Oryctolagus cuniculus: one gene and its partners. The protein of the gene in region 2 purifies or fractionates together with the protein of the main gene of each other region. This does not show direct contact. Links are inferred from orthologs where the notes say so. Each region holds a gene or a part of one and is shown on either strand. Other genes may lie near its edges.

Region 1 (3,675 bases), on a different chromosome or scaffold from region 2:
AGATATGGCAGGTTTCAGTGAAATTTCCTGATTACTGGTAAAAAAAAATCTATTTTAGCAACAAGAAATGGCTAAGCCATTAACCAGGTCTCAGATTCCCAAGGGAAGAGGCTGACAGGACTGTGACAATGACTCAACCTCCCCCTGCAGTTCCCCCGATGAAAGGTGTGCTTAAGTAGTCCCTAAGGAACAAAGCAGAAACCTGTATCTCAGAGTTGGGAGCTGTGCAGGCGTATTTTTGCTGTTGAGTCTGTAAAAATGACAGATGTTGGCAGCATGACACCTGGTAACAGGCTGTTTAAACCTGGACAGGTAGTACTGAACAGCTGCTACCCAGAGTCAGCCTTTCACATGCAGTTTTTCCTCATTCATTGGAGAGAGACAACTTGTAGAGCAAAGACATGAGAACTCTATGAAGCCCTGGTCTTTGTATTTACTGCTGTGTAAATGGAAATTTATACGCAGGGAAGCATGCCCTGCCAAGAAGGAGGCTAGGGCAGGGTGCTATCTCCAGGCTGCAGAGGGCAGTGTCCAAGAATGCTGGTGTGGGGCTGGCATTGTGGTGCAGTGGGTTAGACTGCCACTTACCACATTGGCATCCTGTATCAGAGTGCCAGTTCTCACCCTGGTCTTCACTTCCACTACAACACCCTGCATGCCTGGACCCCTGTACCCACATGGCAGACCAAGGTGGAGTTTCTGGCTCCTGGTTTTAGCTCAGCCCTGGCCCAGCTTGTTGAGGACACTTAGGGATTGAAACAGCAGATGGAAGATCTGTTTCTCCCTATCATCCTTTCAAATCAATCAATCAATTCATAAATAGAAAGGTCTTTTTTTTTTTTTTTTCCAGAATGGTTCCTCTAGCCACAGTGGCACATTTTCTTTAAACAGATTTATAATTTATTTGAAATGTGGAATTGCAGAGGTAGAGTGAGAGGGAGAGAGGGGGAGAGGGGGAGAGGAGAGAGAGAGAGAGAGAGAGAGAGAGAGAGAGAGAGAGAGAGAGAGAGAAAGAAAGAAAGAGAGAGAGAGAGAGAGAGAAAGATCTTCCATTTGCTGATTCATTACCCAGACGGTTGCAACGGCTGGAGCTGGGCTGATCCAAAGCCAGGAGACAGGAACTTCTAGGTCTCCTAAATGGGTGCAGGGGCCCAAGGATCTGGGTCAACGTCTACTGCTTTCCCAGGCCATAGCAGAGTCCTGGATTGGAAGTAGAGCTGCTGGGACTTGAACCAGCACCCATATGGGATGCTAGCACCATATGCAGTGGCTTTACCTGCTATGCCTCAGCACTGGCCCTTAGGTAAGTCTTAGGGATAAAAAGGACTGCTGTTGTGTTTCTTGAATCCTGCAGCAGTGGTAGCAGGCATGTCTGTTTAACAGAATATTCTCTCCTCTCTGTAACACAGAGAAAGGGCTGGAGGAAGACAATATAAATGCTACCAAGACCCTAAGTTTCCCCTCTATCACTACAAGATTTCAAAGGAATGGAACAAAAAAGTTAAGAAATAATACATAGCAACCATGATGGGCTTTTCCATACATTATTTGGTACAATGTTAAGATTGGGGATTATCATCATTGTTACAGATTTGATTATTTATTTGAAAGGCAGAGTTAGAGAGTGAGCAAGCGAGAGCATGAAAGAGATCTTCCTTCTGCTGGTTCACTCTCCAAATGGCCACAATGGCCAGAGCCTGAGCCAGTCTGAAGCCAGGAGCCAGGAGTGTCTTCTGGGTCTCCCACGTAGGTGAAGGGCCCCAAGCACTTGGGCCATCCCTTGCTGCTTTCCCAGGCACATTCGTAGGGGAAGGATCAGAGGTACAACAGCTGAGACTCAAACTGATGCTCAAATGAGATGCCGGCACCACAGGTGGCAGCTTTACCCACCATGTCACAGCACCGGTTCCTATCACTATTATTAAAGGGCATTATTAAAGGTCCTATAGGGACTCAGTACTGATGCAGAGTAGCAGGTTTTATACTATTCCAGTTCCGTGACCTTGCACAAATCACCCAATCTGGTTTTCTCGTTTGCATATCCCACACTTATGAATTACTGTGAGGGATAAATCTGTTTTTCCTCTACACCTGATCTACCACTGAGTCCCACTGATGAGACATCTCAACATATCCACATGCACACACTTCTTGATCCAGGCCCTGCCAGCTCTAACCCGAGTGCCGCCCTCTTCCTTCATGGCACCTCACTCTGCTCAGAGACTTCCCAGGCTCTGAAAACAAAGTACTGAGGGAGCTGGGAATGGGAACTAAGTTCAGGATAATCTGGGGATCTTCCTGACCCTGAACCAAGACAGACAGGGGCTGGCACTGTGGTGCAGTGGGTTAAGTTGCCACTTGGGACTCCAGCATTCCATATTGAAGGGCTGCTTTGAATTCTGGCTGCTCCACTTCTGATCCAGCACCCTGCTAATACACCTGGGAAGGCAGCAGAAGATAGCCCAAGTGCTTGGGCCCCTGCCCTCTGTGTGGGAGACCAGAATGGAGTTCCAGTCTCCCAGCTTTGACCTGATCCAGACCTGGCTGTTGAGGCTATCTGGCATCTAGGTAGTGAACTAGTGGATGGACGATCTCTCTCTGTTGCTCTACTTTCAAATAAATAATCTAAAAAACAAAAAGCAAGACAGATGAAAAAAAAATCCTATAGTGCATACTTAGGCAATATAAACGTGGTTTTTTTATCTGTTATCAGTGGGATAATTCTGGAAAGTGAAACTGAGTTACACCATTGTCTAGTAATTACTTGGTTGGTCACGGGGTGGGGGGGATTCTCCTTCCCCTTTCTCCTGGTCCTTGGTTTCCTTTAGAGATAATTCTTTCAAACTATCCTGTCTCACATCAGTAAAAATCAAGGTCTTTGCAGTTAGTCTCATCCAATCAGTTACCCACCCTGCCCACCCCGCCTCTGTTGCCACTACCTGAAGGGGAGCAAGCACCATGTTGCTCAAGGAGGCTGAGGCTGCTGCTCTCGCTGCCGCGGTCTTAGAGGGAGGCTCGATGAAGCTCTCAGGTGTGGCCAGCTGGCCAGCTGCTGGGCACAGGGTGGGTGCCACTGCTCCTTTCCCAAGTGTCTGCGTCTGTATTTGGTCATGCTGTGGAGTCAACCTGAGTTTATGCAGAAGATCAACGCTTGGGAGGGATGCTCCAGCTGGGTTTGTCACGCTCAGTGGGGCTCTGAAGGGACTCTGGCTGGCAATCAGACTGCTGTGGCTTAGCTCAGAGACAGGCTGGTTCAGCAGTGGAGACCTCTGTCTAGGCGTGGTCTTCACTGCTTGCATCATAGTGCTGTTTCGAGACAGGCTGGGGGGAACCTGCGCAGCAGGGGCGTCACCTGGCAGAGTGGGGCTGAGAACGGGGCTCAATGGGATTGTGTAGCTTGGGGCATGCTTTTCACTGGAGTGTGTGATGGAGGCTGGGGTGATTAGCACCGGGGTGGGGACTTCTGGCTGGACTGAGTGGTGGGCAGCAGAATGGACACCCGGGTTTTCTGATGGAAGGCCTCCTCCTGCTTGCTCAAAGGGGAATGGAAGGAAGGAGCTGGGTTCTTTCTGGGAGGCCTCTCCCGGCAGCTTCTCCACTTCTTCTGAATCCAGACCCATGACTGCGGGCTGTTCCTTTGGCAAAGAGGTTCCGAATAGCTCTTCTACCGTCAGA
Region 2 (3,675 bases):
TCTGAAGGCCTGGGATCTGCCTCTCCTGGCTCCCAGCCTGACCTGCGACGCATTGTAGAGCTGCCTGCACCTGCTGACTTCCTCAGTCTGAGCAGTGAGACCAAACCCAAGTTAATGACACCTGATGCCTTCATGACGCCCACTGCCTCCCTACAGCAGGTACTTCCCCAGGGTAGGGGGACCTGGGAGTGCCCCACCCACAGGCCACAGCCCTTACTCTTTACATCTCCCCAGATCACTGCATCCCCTAGCAGCAGCAGCAGCAGCAGCAGCAGTAGCAGCAGCAGTAGCAGTAGCAGCAGCAGCTCTCTTACAGCTGTGTCTGCTATGAGCAGCACTTCAGCTGTGGAGCCCTCCTTGCCAAGGTGAGGCGAGGGTCAGACATGGAGTATGGGAGGGTCTGGTTTCAAGTAATGCCAAGCTTTGGCTGCTCATACCTCAGCCTTCCTGCCACCAGGCCACCCGAGGAGCTGACCTTGAGCCCCAAGTTGCAGCTGGACGGCAGTCTGACAGTGAGTGGCAGCAGCAGCCTTCAGGCAAGCCCACGCAGCCTCCTGCCTGGCCTACTCCCAGGCCCAGCCGACAAATTGACTCCCAAAGGGCCTGGGCAGGTGTGTGTGTGTGTGTGAAGTACAAGGTAGCAAGTAGATGGCAGCAGGAAAGGTTGGCAGTCGTCTGCTCCCATACACCCTTTCTGCTGGCCCTGCTCTGCTCCACTGCTTCCTGTTTCTCCTGAGGTCATGTCGACCTCCCCATCCCTCCCTCCTTTCCTGGGCTGTGGTGCTGTTTTTGACCTATACCCCGCTTCACCGCTGTCTCTCGCCAGTACTAATACCAGTGTCTTAGATCTGTGCTTTGCCACTCCCCGGTCCATCACTTAATCCCCCATCTTTGGCCCACCTCAGGTACCTCCTGCTGCCTCTGCACTGTCCTTGGAGCTGCAGGAAGTAGAACCTCTAGGACTACCCCAGGCCTCCCCCAGCCGTACCCGTTCCCCTGATGTTATCTCTTCGGCTTCCACTGCCCTGTCCCAGGACATCCCTGAGATTGCGTCTGAGGCCCTGTCCCGTGGCTTTGGCTCCTCTGCCCCTGAGGGCCTTGAGCCAGACAGTATGGCCTCAGCTGCCTCAGCACTACACCTGCTATCCCCACGGCCCCGTCCAGGGCCCGAGCTTGGCCCCCAGCTTGGCCTAGATGGAGGCCCTGGGGACGGAGATCGGCATAGTACCCCTTCCCTCCTGGAGGCAGCCTTGACCCAGGAGGCTGTGACTCCTGATAGTCAGGTCTGGCCTACGGCGCCTGATATTACTCGTGAGACCTGTCCCACTCTGGCAGAGAGGTGAGGAGCTTAAAAGGGGAGAAGTGGTGGGAAGGGCTTCCTATAGTGATTCACTGCTAAGTTGGACTTTCCTCCAGCCCCAGGAACGGCCTCCAGGAAAAGCACAAGAGCCTGGCCTTCCACCGACCACCTTATCACCTGCTGCAGCAACATGATAGCCAGGACACTAGTGCTGAGCAAAGGTGGGCACCACCCCACACCATTCCCCTCATAGGGGAGGGCAACGGGTGGTCAGATACTCAGCCCTCCCTCTGCCTCCCACAGTGACCATGATGATGAGGTGGCCAGCCTTGCTTCTGCCTCAGGAGGCTTTGGCACCAAAGTTCCCCCTCCTCGGCTGCCTGTCAAGGACTGGAAAACCAAGGGATCTCCTCGGGCTTCACCCAAGCTCAAGCGGAAAAGCAAGAAGGATGATGGGTAAGGGGGATCCTGGGACCAAGGAAAGGGATGGTCTCCTGGCTACCAGACATGGCCTGAGGTGCTTCTCACCTATGGCAGGAATTCAGCCGTGGGATCCCGGCTTACAGAGCACCAGGTAAGAACAAGCACGCCTTCCTTCTCATGGGACCCCATCCTGTAAGTGTGGGAAAGGACTTTGGGGCATTCCCTGGTCTGTGTGGTGTCTGGTGTGTGACTGTCAGTACTGCTGGCAGGTGGCAGAGCCCCCTGAGGACTGGCCAGCATTAATTTGGCAACAGCAGAGAGAGCTGGCAGAGCTGCGGCACAACCAAGAAGAACTGCTGCAGCGCCTGTGTACCCAGCTCGAAGGCCTGCAGAGCACGGTCACAGGCCATGTGGAACGAGCACTAGAGACTCGGCATGAACAGGAACGTATCCTTGAGGGTCGTAGCACAGTCCAGCATAGCACAGAAGTAGAGGCAGCATCCTTGGCCCAGGAAGGGGTATGGCAGCTGTTCCAGACCTGTTCCTTAGCTGCAGTGCAGAGCGGCGGCTGGAGCGGGCACTGGCTGAGGGGCAGCAGCGGGGTGGGCAGCTGCAGGAGCAGCTGACCCAGCAGCTTTCCCAGGCACTGTCTTCAGCTGTGGCTGGGCGGCTGGAGCGCAGCATTCGGGATGAAATCAAGAAGACGGTTCCTCCGTGTGAGTTCTGTGTGAAGACTTGCTTTGGGTGGGCCAGGTGGGGGTGGGTGTGCTTGTCAAATTTCCTTCCCTGACTCTACCTGCCCCTTGCTCCTCAGGTGTCTCCAGGAGTCTGGAGCCCGTGGCAGGTCAACTGAGTAACTCAGTGGCTACCAAGCTCACAGCTGTGGAGGGCAGCATGAAAGAGAACATCTCTAAACTGCTCAAGTCCAAGGTGATACAGGACCTAAGATGGTAGGGGGTGAGGTGTTGGTGGGCTTAGGCCAAGGTGGGCTCAGGGTTTCAACTCAGCCCCTCCCTCCGCATTAGAACTTGACAGATGCCATTGCCCGAGCAGCTGCAGACACATTACAGGGGCCAATGCAGGCTGCTTACCGTGAAGCCTTCCAGAGTGTGGTGCTGCCTGCCTTTGAGAAGAGCTGCCAGGCCATGTTCCAGCAGATCAATGATAGCTTCCGGCTGGGCACACAGGAATGTGAGTGGGGTCATATGCCCCGGCGTGGGCGGGGCTGTCCTCTCTTACCAGTCTTGTCACAGTCCCTGCGGTTACCCTTCAGACTTGCAGCAGCTAGAAAGTCACATGAAGAGCCGGAAAGCACGGGAACAGGAAGCTCGGGAACCTGTGCTGGCTCAGCTGCGGGGCCTGGTCAGCACGCTGCAAAGTGCCACTGAGCAGATGGCGGCCACTGTGTCCAGCAGCGTTCGGGCTGAGGTGCAGCACCAACTGCACGTGGCTGTGGGCAGGTGTGTGAGTGGGGCATTAGCCGAGGTAGTGGGTTTGGGGAGGCTCACATTGGGCGCCCTGTCCACCTTATCGGTGTTGCTTTCATTTGCAGCCTGCAGGAGTCAATTTTAGCACAGGTACAACGTATCGTTAAAGGTGAGGTGAGCGTGGCACTCAAGGAGCAGCAGGCTGCTGTCACCTCCAGCATCATGCAGGCCATGCGCTCAGCTGCTGGCACACCTGTCCCCTCTGCCCATCTCGACTGCCAGGCCCAGCAAGCCCATATCCTGCAGCTGCTGCAGCAGGGCCACCTCAATCAGGCCTTCCAGCAGGTACAACAGTTATTTGGTCTGGGTAGGGGTCAGGTGAATCCTAAGCAGGCCCATACAACATACCTTTCATACCTTCCACCAGGCACTGGGCCATTCTGCCCCAGTGGAGTACTCTTGGCTTTTCTTGGCTTTCAGACCATCTCCCTTGTCTGGATCCCTTTCTCCCCACCTCAGCCCACC
Region 3 (3,675 bases), on a different chromosome or scaffold from region 2:
AAGATCCCACTGTAGATAAACAAACAAGGAAATGTGGGAACTGATGAACATCTGAACCTAGGAAATTATTAGAAAACAAAGTCATAGAAACCCACATGACTACAATAAATGATGAATAAATACCATTTATCACTTATACAAAAGGCACTACTAAAATACAAATATGCTCCTCATAGCTAGAGAAACTCTGGAACCAGCAATTAGAGAAAGAAATACCAGCATTTAAAAAAACAAGCAGACTGAGACTCATGGCAAAGCTTTCAATGTGCTAAATGAAATCAGATATAATCATAAGCAGCTCCATATAAAGATTGTGGTTCTTTAAAAAAGTATAACTTACTTCTTTAAAAATATAAGCATATCACAAAAACTAAAGGATAAATATATATATTATACACACATATACATATATATATCTATAAAAACCCAGGCCCTGGTACCACTGAGACATTTTCTAAAATAATTTCAACAGTTATAATATGACCAACACACCTCCACATGACATGCAAAGACGAAACACCAGCATCAATGAACAGTTTGCATAAAGCTAAAATTACAGAACTCCAATGAGACAGGCAGTAAATAATGTACATCACAAACGGATTGTGCCTGTATCACAGCACACCTTAGACTTAAAAAAAATTGAATTCCATCACTCCCAAGAAGTATTACACATGGACCAACACTGGAGCTCTCACGTATGTTAAGTAAGCAGATCAAAAGCTACACAAAATAGTAACAACGTGATTCATATTTTGTTCTTTATTCTATAGAAGATAAATCTGTAGTAACTGTACCCTGTAGATTTTGAAACAATTTTATTAGAAATTACTAATGCTGGTTCTTGAATAATCTAGAAAACTTTTAAAGTACTAACTCAAATCTAGATTGCTATTTATGTTTCTTAACAATTAAATGAAATATTCTTCTGATCAGTAATCTAAAGTTGCTTTGGTACAAAATTGAGAATAAAGCAAAACTGGCAGCACCACAACAAGTGTGATCATTTCACAGGCCCCTCAGGGACAGAGAATAGAAGTTAAAATACACATACAGAAGAGCCGTTCTCTTGATTCATTTTGTTACATCATTAAAAAGAGAAAAAGAATCCTTACGTTTAGTAAATCATACTTGAGGCTCAATTTTCATGCTCCAATTAATTATACCCCAATGATAATGTAAAACAAAGTTTTACTATTATTGCTAAAAGGGTGTCTAATTCATAGTTGGGGATATTTCTAACGAGGAGGCCAGTGGTTAGAGTGGTACATTTTAATGCTTAGCCCACTCATACTATTTTAGCACAAGGTTTAATTTAGTTTTTTTTTTTTTTTTACAGCTTTATTGAGGCATAACTGATGCACAACAAACTGCACGTATTTAAAGTGCACAATCTGATATTTAACCTTTAAATAGCATGAAAAGTGCCTGGCATCTTAAAAAGGAAAACTTCTCACTTTAAACCTATTATTTTAAAATAGTAGTATGCTCATTTTTTATGAGACATGGATATGGACCTGTAAAAAAGGTGATGCAAAGTAAACAAATTAATTGAATTCCAAGTACCAAATTTATTCAGAAGGTTTAGAAATGCCAAAATTGACAGCCAGTTTTCTTGATTTTCTTCTTGAAGAACTTGGTGCTGACTTACGGTGAGACGCACCATGGCCCTGAGAGGCAGCTTCAACTTGAATAGAAGACGAAGGCGGCGCAGTCTCAGAGGGCTTTAGGGAAGCCGATGGGCGGTCCTGCAGACTCCCTTTGGGGCCATCAGGAGATCCTGGCTGGTTAGTCTTAGCTGGAGTGGTTTGAGAAGAACTCTGGGCCTCCTTATTCTCAATGATCTTTTTGTTTGCAACCCTTTTTTTGGTAACCTTTAGGAATAAAAATATCATTAATTAATAATATAAGCAAAAAAACCACAAATAAATCCTAGTGTCAAATGATACCATAAATGATGCTGCTAACAGTTGTAACTGTTGATTTGTGACTTCCACTTTAACCTCCAGAATTTAGTAATAAAATACTAAAAGAATTTGGTTACAAAAATTTAAAGATTCTCTGTAAAATATTAAAAAATTATGTTTTTCTATCACTTTGTGGTAGAACAGTACAGTATTACTTGCTACAACAGTTATTATTTAGAAGAACACAAACTTAGCAAGGACAGAGTACTCAGACCAGTACTGGATTTTGAGCTGGCACTGAAAAAATAAAACTGAATAAATATATAGTCTTTGAGCATTTGAAACAATAATTCCCTTAAGAAGATAATAATTATTTTTCCAGGTCTCACCTGCAGAGGTATGAACTGATTATGCACACCACCTGGCATCACTCCAGCCATGGGCATGGTCCCAGAATATGGAGGATGATGGAAGGGCTTCCCAGGAACTGGTACTGGTGGTCCCCACGGCATTGAGCCGAAGAGATGAGATGGAGGCATTATGTTAGCTGTTAAAAACCACAGAAAATCTTTCTCTTAGTAAAACAGAATTATCGAAGCCCTAACATTTAAGACCTTCTTCTGTTAGCCTTTTTTTTTTTTTTTCCCTTTGGCAAAATGTCCAATTTAACCTATAACTTCTGCTTAGAACATTCAACCCTAGCAGCCCTTCTTTGGACTTTCTACAGAAAGGAATTTATCATTATGCTGGCATGCAAAGACTAAGGGTATCGTACGCTGACATAAACTTTAGGAATATTTGAAATTATATTAAAAAATAACAGGGTCATGATACTGTCATTTGGGAGAGAAAATCCTGGGCACAAAGAAGTCTTAAGAATCTCACCTGCCCCCAATGCTAAGTTGCTTCCATAGTGATCCCAGCCTATAAGAAAACCAAAAAAGCTCAAGTCCTGAAATCTGATCATTTTCATATGACATGCAAAATCTTTCTTTTCCCTATTCTAGTATTTGTAATTCAAGGATTTTTTCATTTACATTTTTTTTTATTAAAAATGCATCAAACCAATGATTCCCAAACCTGCTGTGTGTATCTGAATTACCTAGGGAACCTGCTAAATATAGACTTCTGGGCAGGGCCTCAAACTTTGTAAACCAGACCCTGAAGGGCCCAGAAATAAGTATTTACTAACAAAATCCATAGGTGATTCTTATGTAGACAGCTAACATCAATGCAGCATTTGTGAACAACTGCATTAAAAATGGTGATAATCAAGGCAGCAGCTCATTGTCACTAAAGAAGATATGCACTAGGTTCAAACCTTTACAGAGAGAGAAAAAAGCAGCCTAAAACAGTGTAGCTTAGTTAAAATTCAGCCACTTGAGGAATTTTTGCATCAGGGAAAAAGAATCATAATATATTTTAGTATTATTAATTATACATAACAATTCCCAGGATGAAGAAAACCTTTAATTTGGAAAACACTAATAAGATTTAGAAAATTAGGTCTTGATACTGCCAACAAGCAAGTTTGACGGGAGTCATAATGTTAAGAACTACTGAAAAGACGCCAAATACTGTTCACATCTTTTGGCTGCTATGTATTCATAACTGGAACATTTGGAGAATACCTACTAAAGACCAAAAACATTTCAATTATAACCTTAAAATTCCTGGTACAGGTATGAATAAATTAGACAACATGAAAAGGTAAATATGAAAAAGGTAAAATTATCAAGCTGTAAAATATTGGTAATAAAAAGGGAGT
Region 4 (3,675 bases), on a different chromosome or scaffold from region 2:
CCAGGGGCCCTAGGCAGCTCGGGGTGATCTGCTGTGCCCGCTGTGCATGGAACGAGGCCTGTGTGTGGTGCTTTGTGCTGCAGGCTCGCCATCACTGCTGGGCAGCGTACACTCAGGCCCACTGGCCTGCCCGGGGCCAGCTGGCCACTGCGCTGGCCTAAGGCCCACAGTGTCCGAGCATGTGGCTCTTACGTGTTAGGGGCAGGCCCCTCAGCCCTACCTTGGGGAGCGGGGGTTGTGGGATAAGCCCCTTGCTCCTCTGCTGCCCTCACCCCTTCTTTCTGCTGTTCCAGGCTGAGGTGTGGGGACAGGCTTGGCATTACTCGGCAGTGCCAGCGACTCACCTGTCTGCGTCTAACTCACTTGGCTAACAGACCTAAAACCAAGTTCTCCAATAACTTTCTGTTACGCAAGTGACATTTTGATCCCCAGCTGAGTGACTCCTACAGCGCTCACTGGTGCAAACTCAGGGAAGAAAAAGGAAAGTCATCGATCAGCCTCCTAATACCCCAAAGAACCTGTGAGAAGGGCACGGAGGCCAGCATGATGCAGGCCCTGTGGCACCCCGCGCAGAAGGAAGCCTACAGGAGCCAGGCGGGTGAGTTGCTTGTGCCTTGGCCCTCGCTGCTGCTCCAGGGAGAGGTGCTGAGAGTGGCTGCCCCAGGGGAGAAGTGGCAGCCGTAAGAAGAGCACAGTGTGGGCTGACAAAATGTACACTTTCCTTACTTGGCTCCTGACATTTGTGAGTACTGGAAGAGAATTATACATGCAGAAATTTAAGTCAAACTATTAACCCCAGTTTTCTGATTCTAAATTACCACAGAGAGGGGGGAAAAAAAGCAAAAAAGTCTTACAAAGGGGACAATGTTCCACTGAAATGAGGGTACTCAGAGTTAGGACTTTCGATAAATAGCGAGAAGGCTCTGTCTCGACATCTCACATACACATGCACTTAGGGTGCACGCCTAAGGTCTTTACTTCCCTAAAGGCAAGATTTTCGAGGCACCGTCAGAAGCTACATGGCCTATAAAACAAGTAGAGCGCACTTCCCAGTTTTGAAACCCAATGCCTGGTCAGCAAATGCACAGGGCTCTGAGCCAGACCTGCAGGTGCTGCCCCCAGGCTGTGGTCTGCGCACTGTTCCAAGTTACTGACCGGCACACGGAGCCACCTGCCCTGAAGAATGGGATCTTTCTGAAATGGACAACATTCCCCTCTGGCACTGGGAGTTGCGGGTGGGTGGCACACGTATCCCTCTCCCGATCTTAACTATTCTGTACTGATGACCTAGGGATAAATAAAAACAGGCTGGACCTTTAAGCATTAATATGTTTCCTGTTTCCTTCAAGAATCTCCAGGATTACAGGCTCCGGAGAGGGAGGGATTTTTCTTCACCATTATATAGCACAAGGCCTGACATGCAGAAAGTGCTCAAAATATTTACTAAGTCAATGAGTAAAAGATCGTTTACTATGGACTGATAAAACAAGGTGGGAGTTGTTTGGTATCGAAGGATGACTTCAAAGCAGACTACATGGACGCTCCACCATCACAGGTGGGAGTGTTTTCCATGTCTACACTGGTCCTCACACCCGGTGACAGTATGAAGTGAGAACTCTTCAAGTAAACTACGGCTAATGGCAGGGGGCGGGAGCAGCAACCGTCCGCCCAGCAGAAAGTTAAGGACGCAATGAGATGCACGCACGGGGTTCTCAGCTCCTGCGCTGAACAGAAATGTGCGTGACGTGCAGTCCCTACAGCACAGGAGGGGAGTCTAAATTTCACTGCAGGGACAAGCGGTTGGCCTAGAGGTTAAGATGTGGGTGTCCCACGTGGGAGTACCTGAGTTCAAGTCCGGGCTCCTGCCCCTGACTCCAGCTTCCTGCTGACGCACACCCTGGGAAGCAGCAGCTGATGGCTCAAGTACTTGGGTCCCTGCCATTCAGCTCCTGGCCTTGGCCTGGCCCAGTCCCAGCTATCGGATGCATTTTGGGGAGTGAGCCATTGGAGGGAGAGCTCTGTCTTTCTGCCTAATAAACAAATACATTTCGCCGCATGACAGTGATCCCTTGTTTTATTTTTCTGGTCCTTGGTCGATAGTTACCTGAAGGAAACGAGCCTGCTTTCCTGTGCCGGATGTCGTCTTGTTGATCCAGGACTCCAAGGGCTTCCCAGTCCGAGAGCCCTGAGCTGCTGCAGGAAACTTAGCTGCCAGGGCTGGCCGGGTGGGCACAGGCAGCTGCTGCTCCTGCGGTACCACCTGCAGCTTCCTCAGTAGCTCCGGAGGGGCTGCCACCCGGGGACTGCTTGCTGGGGTGCTGGAGGGAGGGCCCGTCTGTCTAGGGAACGTGGCCCGCTCTTTCCCATGAGCCTGAGGTCCTAGCGTGTGCGGCGGGAGGGTGCCATTGAAAGATAGCAGTTGCGGCTGCGCCACGCCCTTGGCTGGGGTGGCAGCGGCGAGAGCTGTGCTGCAGCCGGGGGCAACCGGCCCGGCAGGGGCTGCTGTGCCACGGTCATGCTTGTCCGCTGGCCCTGGCGTGCTGTGAAGCTTCTCCAGCAGGGTCTGAGCTCTGCAAGCGCTCTGTGGAGCATGAGCAGCCCTGGCGGTACAGGGTGACCCAGGTGGGATGGCCGGACGGGGGCTTCCCTCTTCACGGGGCCGGCTCTCAGGCAGCTCTGACCATGGGTGGAGGTCTGCGCCCCGGACCATGAGTTTCTGAATAGCTGGACAGAGCTGCTTCTCCACCGGCGGCGACTGCCTTTTGGGTTCCTCATAGGACAGGGAGCGCACGACCCCTTGCCTTACTGGGAGCTTCTCGTGCTGCTGCTGGGCCTGGAGGGCCTGTGGGGGCTCCACGGCTTCTGAACTTGTGGCTCTGTCCTGCTTCCCAAACAGAGCTGTCAAGGATAAGTGTTGGGGTTCAGGGTCTAAGGTCTGGAAAAAATAAAGAAATCTGAAAATGGGTCCACAGAAACTCCTGAGGGGCGGGGTGGAGCCCTAGTGTGCCTGCCTGGTGATTTCTCTACTTATAAAGGATAGCTCGGGCAGCATCAAAACACTTCCTTGTTGAATGACCAAAATTTGAAGCTTCCTTCGTCAAGTGAAAAATCTGCACAGCCTTTTCCCCACAGCCCAAGCCAAGCCCCTGCTGACACCTTAGTGTATGCTATGGGTCAGACAGCACCTGCTCCTTGGAGGCCCGGGCTTGCAGCTGGGACCACTGTGGAAGGAAATTAGACACACTACCCGGGGAATAACCCCTCCAAAGGAAAGTTTATCTAACCCTGCAGACCACAAGAAGATACTGAGAATATACAGGGATGTGAAGGTTTCAGCATTCCTGGTAGTTTTTCTTAGAATCTCTAACTTGTTTGTTCCAAGTATATACCTGTAGCTTTTAAAACATTATCAAGGGGCTGGCACTGTGGCATAGCTGCTACCTGCTGTGCTGGCATCCCATGTGGGCTCCAGTTCAAGACCTGGCTGCTCCACTTCCAATCCAGTTCCCTGTTATGGCCTGGGAAAGCAGTAGAGGATGGCCCAAGTCCTTGGGCCCCTGCACCTGCGTGGGAGACCTGGAGGAAGCTCCTGGCTCCTGGTTTCGGTTCAGCCCAATTCCAACAGCTTTAGCCATTTGAGGAGGAACCAGCAGATGGAAGACCTCTCTTTCTCTC

Evidence for each region.
Region 1: the proteins of EDC4 (region 2) and DCP1A purify together in Homo sapiens (co-immunoprecipitation; 9 studies listed by BioGRID and IntAct, with this or other methods). This does not show direct contact. The link is inferred for Oryctolagus cuniculus from reciprocal best matches to the Homo sapiens genes EDC4 and DCP1A.
Region 3: the proteins of EDC4 (region 2) and XRN1 purify together in Homo sapiens (co-immunoprecipitation; 4 studies listed by BioGRID and IntAct, with this or other methods). This does not show direct contact. The link is inferred for Oryctolagus cuniculus from reciprocal best matches to the Homo sapiens genes EDC4 and XRN1.
Region 4: the proteins of EDC4 (region 2) and DCP1B purify together in Homo sapiens (affinity purification with mass spectrometry; 3 studies listed by BioGRID and IntAct, with this or other methods). This does not show direct contact. The link is inferred for Oryctolagus cuniculus from reciprocal best matches to the Homo sapiens genes EDC4 and DCP1B.

What each region holds. Positions count from the first base shown.
Region 1 is NC_091441.1:96,540,976-96,544,650, reverse strand, and holds part of DCP1A (mRNA-decapping enzyme 1A), read right to left. Parts: coding exon 2,940-3,675; intron 1-2,939. UniProt on the Homo sapiens protein: Necessary for the degradation of mRNAs, both in normal mRNA turnover and in nonsense-mediated mRNA decay. Removes the 7-methyl guanine cap structure from mRNA molecules, yielding a 5'-phosphorylated mRNA fragment and 7m-GDP.
Region 2 is NC_091449.1:51,123,751-51,127,425, forward strand, and holds part of EDC4 (enhancer of mRNA-decapping protein 4), read left to right. Parts: coding exon 1-159; intron 160-234; coding exon 235-365; intron 366-457; coding exon 458-611; intron 612-905; coding exon 906-1,339; intron 1,340-1,416; coding exon 1,417-1,521; intron 1,522-1,603; coding exon 1,604-1,756; intron 1,757-1,837; coding exon 1,838-1,874; intron 1,875-1,992; coding exon 1,993-2,170; intron 2,171-2,283; coding exon 2,284-2,439; intron 2,440-2,537; coding exon 2,538-2,653; intron 2,654-2,748; coding exon 2,749-2,914; intron 2,915-2,996; coding exon 2,997-3,183; intron 3,184-3,275; coding exon 3,276-3,495; intron 3,496-3,675. UniProt on the Homo sapiens protein: In the process of mRNA degradation, seems to play a role in mRNA decapping. Component of a complex containing DCP2 and DCP1A which functions in decapping of ARE-containing mRNAs. Promotes complex formation between DCP1A and DCP2.
Region 3 is NC_091435.1:139,566,645-139,570,319, reverse strand, and holds part of XRN1 (5'-3' exoribonuclease 1), read right to left. Parts: intron 2,832-3,675; coding exon 2,793-2,831; intron 2,455-2,792; coding exon 2,297-2,454; intron 1,875-2,296; coding exon 1,572-1,874; 3' UTR 1-1,571. UniProt on the Homo sapiens protein: Major 5'-3' exoribonuclease involved in mRNA decay. Required for the 5'-3'-processing of the G4 tetraplex-containing DNA and RNA substrates. The kinetic of hydrolysis is faster for G4 RNA tetraplex than for G4 DNA tetraplex and monomeric RNA tetraplex.
Region 4 is NC_091440.1:99,743,575-99,747,249, forward strand, and holds part of DCP1B (mRNA-decapping enzyme 1B), read right to left. Parts: intron 2,936-3,675; coding exon 2,105-2,935; intron 1-2,104. UniProt on the Homo sapiens protein: May play a role in the degradation of mRNAs, both in normal mRNA turnover and in nonsense-mediated mRNA decay. May remove the 7-methyl guanine cap structure from mRNA molecules, yielding a 5'-phosphorylated mRNA fragment and 7m-GDP.